2 linked regions of the Notamacropus eugenii genome follow. The protein of the gene in region 1 purifies or fractionates together with the protein of each later gene. This does not show direct contact. Links are inferred from orthologs where the notes say so. Each region holds a gene or a part of one and is shown on either strand. Other genes may lie near its edges.

Region 1 (7,711 bases):
TGGCCAGGCACAGAATAAAAGTTTAAGAGATAATGCTTGTGGACTGACTAGCTTCTACTTTTAGAGTTACCTGGGGAACTGAGAGGTCAAGTGATTTGCAAAGTATAAGTCAGAGACTTCTTCCTCTCTGCCCCTCTAGCCAGCATGGAGGTTCATTTCTCTCTAATGGTTATAAATACTACTTAGTCAGCACTTAGTAGTGAAGGAGTCTGCACACTCTGTTAGCCGGTACCCAAAGGGTCAGAGGCCTCTGGCTTACCTGGGTTAAAACCCTTAATGGTTTCCTATGGTCTATGAAGTAATGTTCCAAAGGCTTGACCCGACATTCCAGCCTTGCTATTGTTCAGTGCCAACCTACCTTTCTACTCTTAGTTCTGTTTCTTAATCATGTATTCCAACCAAATTAGCCTACCGATTATATGGTTTTGGGCCCCCAGTCCCAGTATCTGGAATACCCTGACCTCACCTCTATCTCCACCTTCGATGCTACCTACTGCCTCCCTAGGGTCTTCTTTGATTCCTCTAATCAAAAATGCTCTTTCCTCCTCCAAGCCCAAATTAATCCTTTGTTCACACTCTTTTGTAAGAGTTAGTTAAGTATGTCTCCATTACGTCTCCCTGTACAGGCTTCGTTGAGTTCCTAGAGGGTGGTGATTTGATTATTTAAATCAGTGGTGTAGACCTCAAATAGAAACCCAGCCCACTAATTGGTACATAAAGACGCCTGCAGGCCACATACTGACTCAGCTTTAAACGTAATATTACTTATGTTTTGATTCGTTTTTTAAATATTTCCCAATTACATTTTAATCTGGTTTGAGATGCACTGGGGAGCGTTGCACATGAACGTTTGACACCTGCGATCTAAATCATGTGTCTGTCCCTGTCCTTTAGCCCTGCACATAATAGGTGTGGCATCAGCGATCCATTCTGTGGTTGAAGCCCCGAAATGACTGGCTGGGGGATTTGGGGCTCGGGGTCTCTAGGAGCGTTGCTTTGGAAGGACTCCAGAGCTGCTGCTCTCTTGAAAAAGTCTGATCTCCAAAGGAGAGCGGACTTCCCGGTCCTTTCAGCTTTCTCAAGACAGTAGGAATATTCATTAACTTCTCGGTCACCACAGACATCTTCCGCCGCTGACCCCGAGATTCCAAAGTTTTCCACTGGGGAGTAATTCCATCAGGTGAGGGGGCATGGCCTCCGAGAGCTCGGCCTTCCTCCTTCCCCGGCAGAGCCCTCTCCTTCCACCACCAGACACACCTGGAAGTGTGTGTGTGTGTGGGGGGGGGGGGGGGGGAGTGCTATCTGGAAGGGAGAGAAGGCTGAAGCTTTCTTTTTTTCACCTCCGGAAGGGCAGTCTCTATTACATTAGCCCTAGGAGGTCGGTGAGGTCATTCTGGGTCCTCCCTTATTAGGGAAGTTAAGATGGTACAGGGGAAAACAGGAAGGTCTCTGAGGTCCGGGGTTCAAAGCTAGTCTCCACTATTACTATGCGACCTTATGAAGTCCCTTAATCTCCTACAGCTTCAGTTTTTCCCTCGGTAAAACCCAGGAGCTTAACCCGGAGGCCCCTTCCAGGACCCTGCAGGCAGTTCTGGTCTGGATATAAAGAAGTCGGGCCCTACCTGAGGAATGCCCAGCTTAACGGATCTGGGGCATCTTTCCCCCATCCCCACAGGCCGTCAGACAGTCAGAACTGAAACTTCGGGCCAAGTTTCTGGGCAAATTTTCCGAAATGCAAACAACATTCCAAGTCCTGGAAGGAGATTCGGTCAGGAGATGGTGTGATCTGAATCAGGTGAGGTTAGTCAGGGACGGCTTCCCGGAGGAGGGGATGCCCGTGAAGCTCACACTTCAACAACGTTTTCCCGCTCACAAAGCTCTTTCCACATGACAACGAGACGAGTAAGGTAGGTCGGAGGAGCGTTTAGTTCCAAGTCACAGAAGGTCCCTGAATCCCCCAGCTAACAGGTGGCTGGGCTTATCGAACGACCACTAGTTTGGGGCTGCAAGGTTCTCTTCCTCAGCCCCCTCTTGCCCGTAGGGACCTAGGTCTCCATCAAGACCCTGAAACCGCGTGTCCACCCCTGTCCAGGCAGCATCTCGCTCTCCGGGTGGTCGGGGTTCCCATTCACTCCTTTCCGCTCATCCCCCCCCCCCCGACCCCACCGGGTCCGAGGTCTTCCCTCCCGGGGTCGTGCAGAGCGACAGGACCTGGGAGCATTGCCAAGCGCCCCGAAAGTTTCCTCCGCCGCCGCCCAGAGAGCGAAGGATTCTGCCGCCACCTCCCTGAAGGCACGGTTCCAAGACCCCCTGGGGTTCCCCAGTGGAAAATCGGGAAGGAAGCGGACAAGGTCTACTCCGACGGGCCCAGGCATGCCCAGGCTGGAAGACGGCGCCTACTGGGCAAGCCGGGCCCACTCGGGAAGCCCCTCCTCCCCCAACCCCCACTCCGTCCTAAGTAGCTGTCCAGAGCTCTTCCCCCGGGAACGAAGTCGGAGGAAGAGGAGGGGGGCAGCGGCGGCCAGTTGATGCAATCCCGGCGCCAGGTTACAGTCTGCCCCCAATTCCCAGCCCCCGATCCCCATCCCAGGGCTGAGCCGGCCGTCGAGCCTGTCCCGTGGCCAGAAGGGCTGGACTCGCGGCTGGGGAGGGGTCCGCGCCACTCACCTCCGCGGTCCCTGCGCCGCCGCACTGGGTGTAGGGGATGTAGCCCTGGATTCCGGCGCAGTTCTCCGCGTCCGCCACGATCATGGTGCCAGCCAGCGCGCACCTTCCTTGCGGGGCCCGCGGGCACGGCCGCGGGGGTACAGCGCGCGAGCGGGTCCCGGGGTGGCAGGCGCTCCCGGCGAGGTGGGGCTCTGCACCTGTCCGCAGACCCACGGTCCTGCACCGGAACGGTCCGTGGCTACCCGAGGGGCGCCCCAGCTTCTACCGTGGCCCCGGGGGGTCTTAGAATTCTAGAGTGAAGAACGTCTCGGCTACCACAGCTCACAGACATCCCCGAGCCCGACTGCCTTTAGCTTCTCTGGATCCGACCTCGGCAACTGAGACCTACCCAGACGCAGGTCGGAGGGGTGGGGAGTGAGAGGGAGGGGACACAAGCCTCAGGCTTCGGCCAATCACCTACTCATTGGTCCGGCAGGAGGCGGAGACGCCTTTCCTCCTCCAACAGCTTCTCTCGACTATCTTCCAATGGGCTCGGGGAAGCGCTGGGGGAGCTGGGAGTTGTAGTTTTACCCTGGAGGATGTTGCAAACTTTTGCAAGAGGGTTACTCATAAACAAGTAAATGAGAAACGAGAGACCGAGAGTGACAGTCCCAGATAGTCATTATGATTGCATGATGAATTGCAACTTTTTAGGGACTGGGCAGGGCATCTGGGTTTATAATTTCAAACCATTTCATGCTACAGATTTTAAATTTCTGGTGAGGTTATTTAGGGTCCCTGGATGGCTTTTCGAGGTGACTGTTTATAATGAGCATTGCTGGAGCTAATTATAGGTCTGAACCCGAGGGAGTTTTAAAAGGTCTTTCAGAATATTCACTTTGCCCTCAAGCAGCCCCGCACCTTCAAACATACCAGACAAAAGAGAATCCAGCCTGTATCTGAAGTTCTGCAGAAAGGATTTCATAACTTCCTTAAGAAATTCATTCGGGTGCCTAATTTCAGCCTCTCTTGCTGGAGTTTCAGTCTTTCCCCACTCCTTTATTCTCCTTTACCAGTCTGCACTATCTGACACTATATTTAACGGTATTTAATCACCCGTTGCTCCTTTAATCACTCACTCAATCAATAAATATTTGCTGCATTCCTCTAAGTGCCAGGGCACCAAGTTTGAAACTCTTCTCCCTTGTTCAAGACATGGAACTATCTTGGTTTTCCCATCTACCAGTTGATGACCCTTTTTCCTCTCCTTATATAGATTCCCCTCTTTGATTTCCTCCTCACCCAGAAAAGGGGGCATTTCTCCTAAACTTCTGGCCATGACCTTCTCTCTCTAGGAAAGGAAGGATAGAGATGGGGGAGGGCAACGATGCAATACTATTCCTGAGTTACATTTTCCCCAACTCTCACAGGAACCCACCACCCCAGCCCAGCAGCTGAGATATGAAATGGCAGCTAGCCCTTTAAATTTAGCACAGATGGAGGCAGAAGGCATCTAGGCAGGAATGCTCTCTTTAGGGACTTGGATGACATTGGGGGAGTAGGGAAAGCAACTAGGTTACTGACACCTCCCATTTCAGTTTGGGGGTCCTTACTTCTCAAGCTGCTCCTAGCACCTCCATGCTATGGACTTCTCTCAAATTTGTCTTTTAATCTCTGATATCTGCTTTCACTTCCAGTTCAAATTTTTCATCTACTTGCTGGACATATCCATGAAAATGTATCCCTGGAAATTAAAAAAGTTGAAAGCTGAACTCATTTTCCTAAAGGCAGTTACTTTCCCTTGATTTACTCATTTCTGTTAATGGCCCCCCAAAATTCATTAACCTGACTGAGCTCTGACTGTTCTCTCTCCATACACCCTATCAGTCACCAAACCTTGTTCATTCTTCCTTCCTATTTCCAGAATCCCACCCCTAATGTAGGTAATGGTGATCACCTCTCAGTTGGATTATAATACTAGACTCCTCCTAACTCTTCTCCTGACTCTCTCAACGCATGATCCACACCTGCCAGAAGAATCTTTTCTTTCTTTTTTGGGGGGGGGCAGGGGGGAGACAGTAGGGGTTAAGTGACTTGCCCAGTGTCACACTGCTAGTAAGCATCTGAGGCCAAATTTGAATTCCTGTTACCTTGATTCCTGAGGATGTGCACTATTCACTGCGCCACCTAGCTGCCCCCCAGAAGAATCTTCTTAAAGCCAAGGTTTTACCCTGCTACTCAAATGTTGGGAGGTCTTCAATGGTTCCCCATGGTTTAAAAGTGATAAATCTAATCTCCAAATCCTGCCATTTAATACCCTCCACAAATGGCTCCAAACTCCTTTTCCAATCTTATACAACGAATTGAGAGCTCCAAGAGACCTTGGTAGTCATTTAATTTCATTTTCAGATAAGGGAACTGAGAATGAGGGAGATTAAGTGACTTGTCTAAGTCACCCAATGAGAGCAGCAGTTAGGATTTGAACCCAGGTTCTCTGAGTACAGATGTATTGATATTTCTGCTACAACTTTATATATGATATTGGTGTTTCAAGGCATATACAGCTTCCCTTTGAGCTCTGTGCTCCAGCCAAACTATACTAGTGGACATTTCCAAACACACTTTCCCATTTCCCTGCAACAACAGCTAGCAACCTCTCCTCCCTCTTCCCCCCCATTCCCTTCCTCCATTCCCTAGAGCTGTCTGTTGAAATCTCACTATCCTTTAAGGGTCAGCTTCAAGGACACCTCACCCCCAGGCAGGTAATCTCTCTTTCTCTCTATCTCTGCCTCCCTGTCTCTGTCTCTCCCCTCCCTACTCCCACAGCACCATCTACTGTTACCATGGTACTTATTGCCTACTGCCTTATATTTGCACTTAGTATCAACATCTTTCCCCCTGAGACTCCATGGCAGGGATCGTGTCTCATTGATCTCCAATATATAACAGCAACAAATAACATTCATATAGCACTTAATATATAACTAATGTACTTTGTAATCAAAAATCTCATTTTTTTTCTTTTGCTCACACAAAAGCCTTAGGTTGGTGGTGCAACTATTATACCCCTTTTATAGGTCAGTATACTAAGGTTCAGAGATAAAGTGGTTGGCCCAAGGTCACACAGGAAATACTAGAGCTGGGATAAGAATGTAGACTGCTTCTCAAATCCAATGCTTTTTCTGATTTCACTACATGCTGTGTCACTACTGTGTCTCCCTCTGCATGGGAACTCAATAAATAATCTTTGAATTTAATGGGCATTTTGATTTGAAAAAGCTCATATAAAGAAATCTAGGTGTGCCTCTTCAAGCCTGTTTGAAGCAATCAGTTCATCGGACTTTTCAGCCTTCACTCCCTCCCTTTTCCGAGCAATAAAAGAGCAGTCTCAATCACTCATTCTCCAGGAATTCTCAAGTCAGTGGTCCGAGGTATGATTCCCAAGTCAGGGGGACTCCAGTTTGAGAAATATACTAGACCCAGAAATCTAAAAACAAGCCCCAGCACAAGAACTGTGCACATCTGTCTATGCTAAGGGGATGCATTTCCTTCCACACAGTGAGGCCGGTAAGATGGCAAAGGCTTGAAGTGGCTGAAGCCACTCCAATGAGTCTAAAACGGACCCTAGCAATTGGAAGGGAAAAGACCTGTTTGAATCTGCATTAGCTGACAGTGCCCTCTGCTGGGCACACGCTGCTACAGCTCAAAGTAGTACCAGAGAAAGAAGGTATCTTTGAGTTTCTTTTGTGCACCCTCAAGGTATAGGGCATGAAAGTGGAGCCCTCAAAGGGGTTGCAATGTGCACAACATCACAGAGCTAGAAATGGTACAACCAGAATTTGAACCCAGCTCCTCCGGTCAGAGAGCAGGCATTCTGGCCACAGTGCCTCTCTTCCCAAACAGCCTGATTCACAGAATTTGGATCAACCTGTCAGTGGTGACCAGCTGTGAAGTCCAACCATTAGCTCTGAGGATGGCTCTGCTTCTGGGCAAAATATGGCCAACCAAGATGGTCATCTTAGGCAACTTCCTAGAGTAACTGAGGAACAGAGAAGGGGCTGGGATGGGGGCAGACTTTTCCCAAGTCATACAAAGCATTATTGGTAAGCAATATCTAGACTCCTAATTCAGGGTTGTGCCCCATTGTAACACAATGCCCTGACAACCTGACATCTCTTCCCAAGGTCAGTAACCTTTATCCCTTTGGGTTCCTCCCCATCAACATTTTCTAATTCCCAAGATATGCCCACACATTCCCTTAATTTTTAAAAAAAAAATCTTCCCTGCATTCTTTCTCCTTCCCAAGACAATACCCCCTCCTCTTGTTATTCCCATGAGGAGTCCTACTCACCAGCAGGATCCCCTTCTCCCAGGCTGGATCCTCCCAAGGCAACAGCATTCCCTGAACATCCTCAGATACTGCTGCTTCCCCTCTCTGCACTTTGCTGAATTTCCTTGGCTTTCCCTGTTCATGCTAGATGACTGTACTAGTGCTGCTCTGATCCCCCCTTGGGGTCATCTAGTCCATACCCCTCATTTGACAGATAAGAAAAACAGAGACTCAGAGATGTGAACAACTATCTTTCTAATTAAATCCAGTAATAGGGAACTTTTCAAAGTGGGGAAACCCTAAGGGAGGGTCAATACCTTTGCAAGCATCTCCAGAAGTCTTCAAAACAGGTCCATCACACCTTCTTCTCGGCCTTGGCAGTGTCAGGTGGACCCGAACTGATCAAGAATACTACCTTAAACCATTCCTTTTGCCAGCTTTTTTTCTCTTTTTGCTCAGCAACAGGCTCCCTTTTATATGTTGACTGGTGGCCAATTAAAAGGGAGATGGGTGGGATTTGTCTGGCAGCCAATAGCTAACCTCTGGGAATAGCTCCAGGAAGCTGATAGGCCTAGACCAATTTCTGACTTGGTTACAGGGGCTAAACCAAAGGCTTCTTACAAGGGTGGGGAAAGGATGATCTTTATGTCCTTGGGGTTCTGCCTTTTAATGTTTTCTGATAGGTATAGGCTTCAGTAGCCTACCTATACCAGACAAGACAATGAGCAGCTCTTT
Region 2 (7,202 bases), on another chromosome or scaffold:
ATCATCATTAATAATAAACTATTATTGATTGCTAGCGTTTATCCAGCACGTTAGGGTTTGCAGAGAGCTTTGTGTGTGTTATCTCACCTGACGATCTCTACAACAACTCTGCTCTGAGGCAGGTACCACATCATTCCCATTTTACAAATGAGGAAACTGAGGCTGAGAGAGGTTAGCATAGTGGACAGAGTGCCTGACTGCAAATCAGGTCTTAGACATTTGCTGGCTATGTGACCCTGGGTAAAGCACTTAATCTCTGACTTGCCTCAGTTTCTTTTTCAGCAGAACAGGGATAATAGCAGCACCCACCTCACAGGGCTGTCATGAAGATCAAATTAGATAACATTTGCAATGCACTTTGCAAACCTTCATGTGCTCTACAAATGCTATTATCACTATATGTACATATGGGTATATATCTAAATGTACGTACATATATATGTACATACACACATGCACAAAAATATACATATATGAGTGTTTTCCTCACCCCTAACCACCCTCTCTCACCTCCCACCAAATCTAAGCCAGAACCCAATGGTAAAGAGCAGCTCTCGCCCCTATAGTGAAAGAAACCACTGTGGTTCATTGGGAAGAGACAGAGTCAAATCTGAAGGATATGTTTCATTCATTTCTCTTATGGCTTGTGTGACCCTGGGTGATAGTAGCAGCAGCAGCAGAAGTAGTAATAGTAATGTCACTTAGTAGGCAAGTCACTAAACATACATGGGTTTTGGTTTCCTTGTTTGTAAAAGAGGTTGGCTTAGATGACCTCTGAGGTTTGTTCCAGTTCTGACTCCATGACCCTAGCTTGGTATCTGTTAGTAAGTCAGGATGGAGGTTACAACCTTTCACCCAGAGGGCTAGACTCCACTGACCTCTAAGATCCCTTCCAGCTCTAAATTCCAACTTATAAGCCTTAAAGCTGAGCAGGGGGTTGGCAAGTGATGCATCTGGCTTCTGGCCCTGGCTGGAGAACTCTGACAAGGCTGGGAACTCACTGAGTCATCGTTACCCACACTCCCAAGGGCCAAGGAGCAGAAACCTTCCTACCTCCCTTAGAAAGTACTGGATGGGGTTGAGCCAAGCCTGGTTGGGCAATACTCAAGAGGAAGGGGTGTGGCCAAAGTAATTAAATGAGTGAGAGTAGGGATACCCCCCCAAGTTTCTGGTGTTCTCTAGAAAGTTCTGTGTCCCACCCCCAACCAGAATTCCTTTCTACTAACCCTGGGTTCTCTGGCCCTGCTGCCTCATTTCTAAGTAGCTAGCTGACCTTAGGGATCCTGGACTCCTTGTTACCTTTTATAGACTCCCCACCATATCCTTCCTGTTCCCTTTCTTCTGAGTCTCACTTTTCTCATCAGTAGAGAAAATGGTACCTGAAGTGCCTACCTGATGGAGTTATTAGGAGGATCAAGGAAGATGATGTGTGGCAATCCCTGTAGCAATTAATCAATCAACAAGCATTTATTAAGCCTCCATTAGGTGCCAGGCCCTGGGCTACGTGCTGAGGCTAAGACAAAAAGTGACATCCCTACGGCCAAGAAGGAAGGCAAGCACAGAGTCAAGCACACACAAAGTATATGTGAAGTCATTTCAGGGGGAGGCACTTGCTTCTTCCAAGAAGTGCTGGCTGGCATTTAAGCTGAGCTTCTAAGGAAACTAGAAGCTCCAAGAGGTAGAAAGGAGGAGGGAGTGCACTCAAGATGTGGGATACAGCCTGGGCAAAACTGAGGAGATGCGAAATGGCTTGAAGGCCAGTTTGATTGGATCGTGAGAAAGGGAGTTAATGTTCAGTGAATGAGGAAAGATAGGGCCAGGTTGTGAAGGGTTTTAAGATCTAAACTGAGGAGTTTATACTTTAAGTTACAGGTAATAGGAAGTTAAGAGAGTAGGAGAGTGACACAGTATTAACTTGCCTAAAATTCCCCATTAGATAAGCTTCCTGAGGGGAGGCCTAGAAAAAAGGAAGGAGAACCTGCTGTAGATAGTCAACAAATAGGGAAGGGAATAAGAATTTATATATGGCCTACTATGTGTCAGGCACGGTGTTAAATGCTTTACAAATGTAAACTCATTTGATCCTCACAGTAATCCTGGAAAGTAGGGGCGGTCATTATTTGAAACAGAGGGTAAGTGACTTGTGCAGTAAGGTGACACAGTGTCAGAGGTCAGAGCTGACTCAGGAATTCCTGACTACAGGCCCTAAGCTCTATCCATTTCACCCTCTACCTGAGAAAATCCTACCCAAGAGAACTCCCAGGGACAAAGAATCATAGAAATGAACCTGTGACTCAATTCTCCTTTGGACTGGAGTGAAACAAGCCTGATCTCACAGACAGTGCTAGTCAAACCCCTTTCCTCTTGGCCCAGTGAAACTCCCCAGATTCCCCTGATAACATGTGTTGTTCCCTAAAGCCAGACACTTATTATCATCATTCCCAATCAACCAATCGAAAGGCATTTATGAAAGGCTTATCATTGGCCTGTGGCTGTGCTATACCTTAGGGAATCAAAGACAAAAGGGAAATAGTCTGTGCCCTCAAGAAACTTACTCTTCGGGGGTGGGGTTGGTTGAGTAGTATGTACATACAAAAATATAAGCAAAATAGATAGAATTTAAGTTTTGAGAGGAAGGCACAAGAAACTGGAGGAGTTGGGAGAGGTTTCCTGTATCTCTTTTATGCTGTATCTCTTGATTTAAGTTTTGAAGGAGACCAAGAATTGTGGAGGGCAGCCAGGTGGCACAGTAGATAGAGAACTAGCCTGGAATGAGAAAGACCTGAGTTCAAATCTAACTTCAGACACTATCTGTGTGACCCTGGGCAAGTCACTTCACCCTCTTTACCTCAGTTTCCTCATCTGTAAAATGAGCTGGAGAGGGAAATAACAAACCACTCCAGTATCTTTGTCAAAAATACCCCCAAAGGGTCACAAAGAGTCAGAAACAACAGTAAGTTAGAATGGAAGAGTTGAATTATCTCCTGGGCCTTCTACTGGAGAAAGATGGAAAGAGCTCAGCACCACAGGCCTCAGGGGACAAGGGCACGGCATAGGGCACAGACCCTAGGGGATTTTGAGGGGACAAGTAGTTCAAGCAATAAGCATTTTTTAAGCATCTACTATGTGTTAGGCATAGTTTAATCTATATTATATTGTATCAACATTTATAACGCGTACTTTATATTTTAATCTCTACGCGGTCAGTCAAGTGGCTCTTGGAGCTGGAGGAAGATGGAAAATTCCAGATTTAACAATGAGGGGCAAACCAAGCCTCCCCAGCCCCATGGGCCAAGTTAGGCAAGTTAGACAAGTTAGCCTCGGAGCCCTGGCCATCAGAGAAGGTCACCGAGCTAAGTTCTCCTTGGCTAACGGTCCGTGAACACTGGCAAGGAGCGCTGCGGACCCCCTCTGCGGGCAGCAGGCCCACTTTGGGGCACGGGGTAAGAGAAAGCTCCCGGAGCCCGGAGGCCCCGAAGTGGCCAGGCGAGCTGCTGAGTCATGCTCAGTCAGGTCAGTGTGCAGTCCGGGGAAGTCCCTCACCCGTGGGGCTGTGAATCCGGAGGGAAGCGGCCTGGTGCCCAACTCTTCCTGCCCTATGCGGCCCTCGCCAGCGTGCTGGGGCACCGGGGGCACGGAGACCTCCCCCTCCCCACAGCTCAGGGCCCTAAGGAAGAGCCAGGGCTCCCATACTTCTGAAAGTTGAAGGGGCCCTTCCGCAGGTCCGCGGACCTCCCTCCTACAGCAGACACCCCCGCCCCGACGCTGAGACCTCCCCTAGAACACGGCGCCCCTCCCTGCCCCCTCCACCTTCCACTCCCCCCAACGGCGCATAAAACCCTCACCCCCCAAAAAGCCTCCCGCTCCTTTCCAGGGGCAAAATGACGGTCCCTTCAGCCTCCTCCGGCTACAGGGACACCCCCTCCCACACGCACGTGGGAAGCCTCTGGGATACTTTTCTAGACAGCTGCATCCCCTGGCACGTGGGAACTGCTCCCCGCCCCCACTCTGATGCCTCCCAGGGTCGCAGAGCCCCCAGCTCCGCCACTACGGACCGAACGGCAGACCCCTCCCCCCACTTGTTTATTTCGGCAGCGCACGAGGGATCCGCTTCGGGGCGTGAGCTAGCACCGAGGGACACGTGAGGGGAGGGGGGCGGGCGGGGTCCGGGGGGGGGGCGCGTAGCTCCCGGCCCCGCCCCAGCCGGGCGGAGACTCGGGCGTCGTGTATAAGACCTGAGCGGGGCGGGCTCGCCGGAGACGCCGTCCCAACGTCTGCGGGTCGCAGGTCGCCTTCGTCCGTGTTTTCAGCTGCCGAGACCGGCCTCTCCGCCTGCACAGTGCCGCCGACGCCGAGATGGAGCGGCTGACCGTGAAGGCCTACCTGATGGGCAAGGAGGAGGCGGCCCGGGAGATCCGCCGCTTCACCGTGGAGCCGCTCGACGGCCCGGGCCGCTGCGAGAAGCTGCTCCGCCGCGTGGCCGAGGTGTTCCCGGCGCTGCGGCCCGGCGGCTTCCAGGTGTACTACCGAGGTGAGGCCGCGGGGCCGGGCCGGGCAGGCGGGGGCCTGGCCGGGAGCGGGGCTCCGAGCCCGCAGCCGGCTCTGGCCCGCCCTGACCCTGCCGCTTGTTTATCTGGCGTCGGGCCGAGCCGGGCTTACGTAACCGGACCCCGTGTGCCGTGACGCGGGCCAAACCGCCGAGGCTGGGCGGGAGCCGAACCGACCCCCGCCGAGGTCTCCGTGTCCCCCGGGAGCTAGGCTAGGATTGGCCCGCCTGCAGCCACCCGCGTTTATTAAACGCTGCTGTGTGCGAGGCGCTGGAGACAGAAAAATGGTGGCGCTCCTACCCCCGAGGAGTTCACTTGGTTTTGGGGGTGTGGGGGTGTGTACACACACTCGTGGATGCGTAATACGTGTGTACGTATATCGGCGGCTGTACGCGTATCTAGCAGCCTGTTGCACGAGCAAGTCTGTTTATACAAACATGCGAATAAGTAAGCCAAGGTTCAGAGTTTTGAGGAGGAGGATCCGGAAGGAGCTTGGGGGCGGTTAGGGTGTGCCTGGCTTGGAGGTGTGTGTCTCGGTGCCCGCGTGTGCCCTGGCAGGAGTGGCATCAAACTTGTCCCAGCCGTGCGGCGCCGGGCGGGTCGCTTCATCGCCTCCTGCCTTAGCGTCCCCGTCGGTAAAATGGGCATTAGAAGTAAGGCCAAGCTGCCAGCGCTGTTGTGCGTGAGTGTTCCATGGAAGCGTTACTACTGGCGCTGCTACGGCTCCAGCCTTGCTTTGGGCCTGGCCGCCCGCCAGCCTCCTGGTCCTGTTGTGACTGCCCGAGCTGGACCTGGACGGAGCCCACGGTGGCGGCCCTCCCGCCCCCAGAGTAGTCCTTGGCTTTTCTACTCCCCCCAGGGCAGAAGTTTCCAGAATCTGTGACCATTTTCTGTCTCACCGTCTCCAAACTAATTAGTAAAATAACGTGTGATGAATCCCACAAACGAGCTAAACTTTTTTTCCAGAAATGTTTGTATAGTCAAAGAGTGGGGGGGAAATCCCACTTAGAGACCACCCTTGGAGATTGGATTGGTTTAAATCGATGTATCCTTAGGCAACACAAGATCCGTGCACACCAAAAGAGGCAGCAGACAGTCTAATGGAGGAGACCACATGCTAATAAATACGTAGAAAGAGAGCTACATTCAGAATAAAGAGGGAAGGCACTAGAATTTAAAGGGTTTGGGGAAGGCTTCCTGTAGGAAACCAGGGAGGTCAGTCAACACCAAAGGGAAAACTTTCTAGGCTCAGGACACCCAGAGAAAATGCCCAGAGCTGAGGGTTGGAGTTCGTGAAACAGCCAGGAGGCTGGTGTCGCTGGATAAGAAAGAGTACCTGTAGGGGCGAGTAAGGTGTAAGAAGATTGAAAAGGTTGTGAAGGGCTTTCCAAGGCCAAGCAGAGCTTTTTGTATTTGATCCTAGAGACAATAGGGAGGCCCTGGAGTTTATTGAGTAGGGGAAGGTGGGTTGACCCCATCGGACTTGAACATAGGAAAATCACTTTTAGTGGCTTGGAGGATAGATTGGAAGAAGGAGAGATGAGAAGCCTGCAGACACCCCATCCCCACAGCAGGATGTTGTAATCAAAGCCTGAGGTGATGAGGGCCTGGACCCAGGGGGTTGGCAGTGTCTGGAAGGATTTTGCAAAGGTGAAATCAATAGGCCTTGGCAGGGCTCGAATATGAGAGATGGGTGAGGAGTTCACCGTTCCTAGGTCAAGAACCTGAGAGACTGGTAAGATGATGTGGCTCCTGAGGGTAAAGGGAAAGGTTGGAGGGGCAGGATTTAGGGGGAAAGATTGATTTCAGCTTTGGACTTAGTTTAACTAAGTTAAAAATGTCTACTAGACATCCAGTTCTGGGTGTCTGAAAAGTTAGTTGGAGATGAGAAAATGGAGGTTAGGAGAGGGAGATTTAAGAATCATTGGCATAAAGATGATAATTAGATCCATGGCAAGTGAGAGAGAAGAGGGCCCAGGTATAGGAACTAGAGGGACACCCATGATTAAAGGGTGGCATCATTAGGAGGATCCAGGAAGGGACACAGAAGGAACAATCTGAGAGGTGGGAGGAGAACCAGGAGAGTGTGGTGTCCTGAAAACCTAGAAGAGGGTGTCAAGGGGGGGAGATTGACACAACTATGTTAGAGGTCAAGGGGAACGAGGGTGGAGAAAAAGACAACCAAGAGACTATTAGTAACTTTGGAGAGAGAAGGTTTTGGTGGAATGATGAAGTTGGAAGTCAGATTGCGAGGGGTTGAGGAGAGGAAGTGGAGACACTGATAAAGAGAAATGAGATTATAAAGTGAGGCAGAGGTCTCACTTTCGAATTTTTTTGGGGGGGGGGGGAGTTTTCCTGGAAAAAATGACTTCAGAGATCCAGGTATACTAACTTTGTAGTCTTTGATTCCCTTAGGCAGCTAGCACATACAGTGCCAGGCTTGGAGTCAGGAAGATCTGATTGGATTCAGATTTCATCCTGGAGGCAATTGGCAGCCACTGGAGTTTGTTGTTGGGGGAAGTGGGTTGACGCCAGCTGTGTGACAAGTCTAGGCAAGTTGTTTAACCTGCCTGCCTCGGTTTCTTCATCTCTAAAATGGGAATGATCATCTTCTACCTCCAAGGGTTGTGTGTGACAATAAAATGGGGGAAAATA

Evidence for each region.
Region 2: the proteins of SESN2 (region 1) and SQSTM1 purify together in Homo sapiens (affinity purification with western blotting; 3 studies listed by BioGRID and IntAct, with this or other methods). This does not show direct contact. The link is inferred for Notamacropus eugenii from reciprocal best matches to the Homo sapiens genes SESN2 and SQSTM1.

What each region holds. Positions count from the first base shown.
Region 1 is NC_092876.1:69,378,825-69,386,535, reverse strand, and holds the start of SESN2 (sestrin-2), read right to left. Parts: upstream 3,050-7,711; 5' UTR 2,752-3,049; coding exon 2,668-2,751; intron 1,702-2,667; exon of another isoform or gene 1,668-1,701; coding exon of another isoform or gene 1,623-1,667; intron 1-1,622. UniProt on the Homo sapiens protein: Functions as an intracellular leucine sensor that negatively regulates the mTORC1 signaling pathway through the GATOR complex. In absence of leucine, binds the GATOR subcomplex GATOR2 and prevents mTORC1 signaling.
Region 2 is NC_092872.1:416,510,015-416,517,216, reverse strand, and holds the start of SQSTM1 (sequestosome-1), read left to right. Parts: upstream 1-4,144; 5' UTR 4,145-4,356; coding exon 4,357-4,531; intron 4,532-7,202. UniProt on the Homo sapiens protein: Molecular adapter required for selective macroautophagy (aggrephagy) by acting as a bridge between polyubiquitinated proteins and autophagosomes.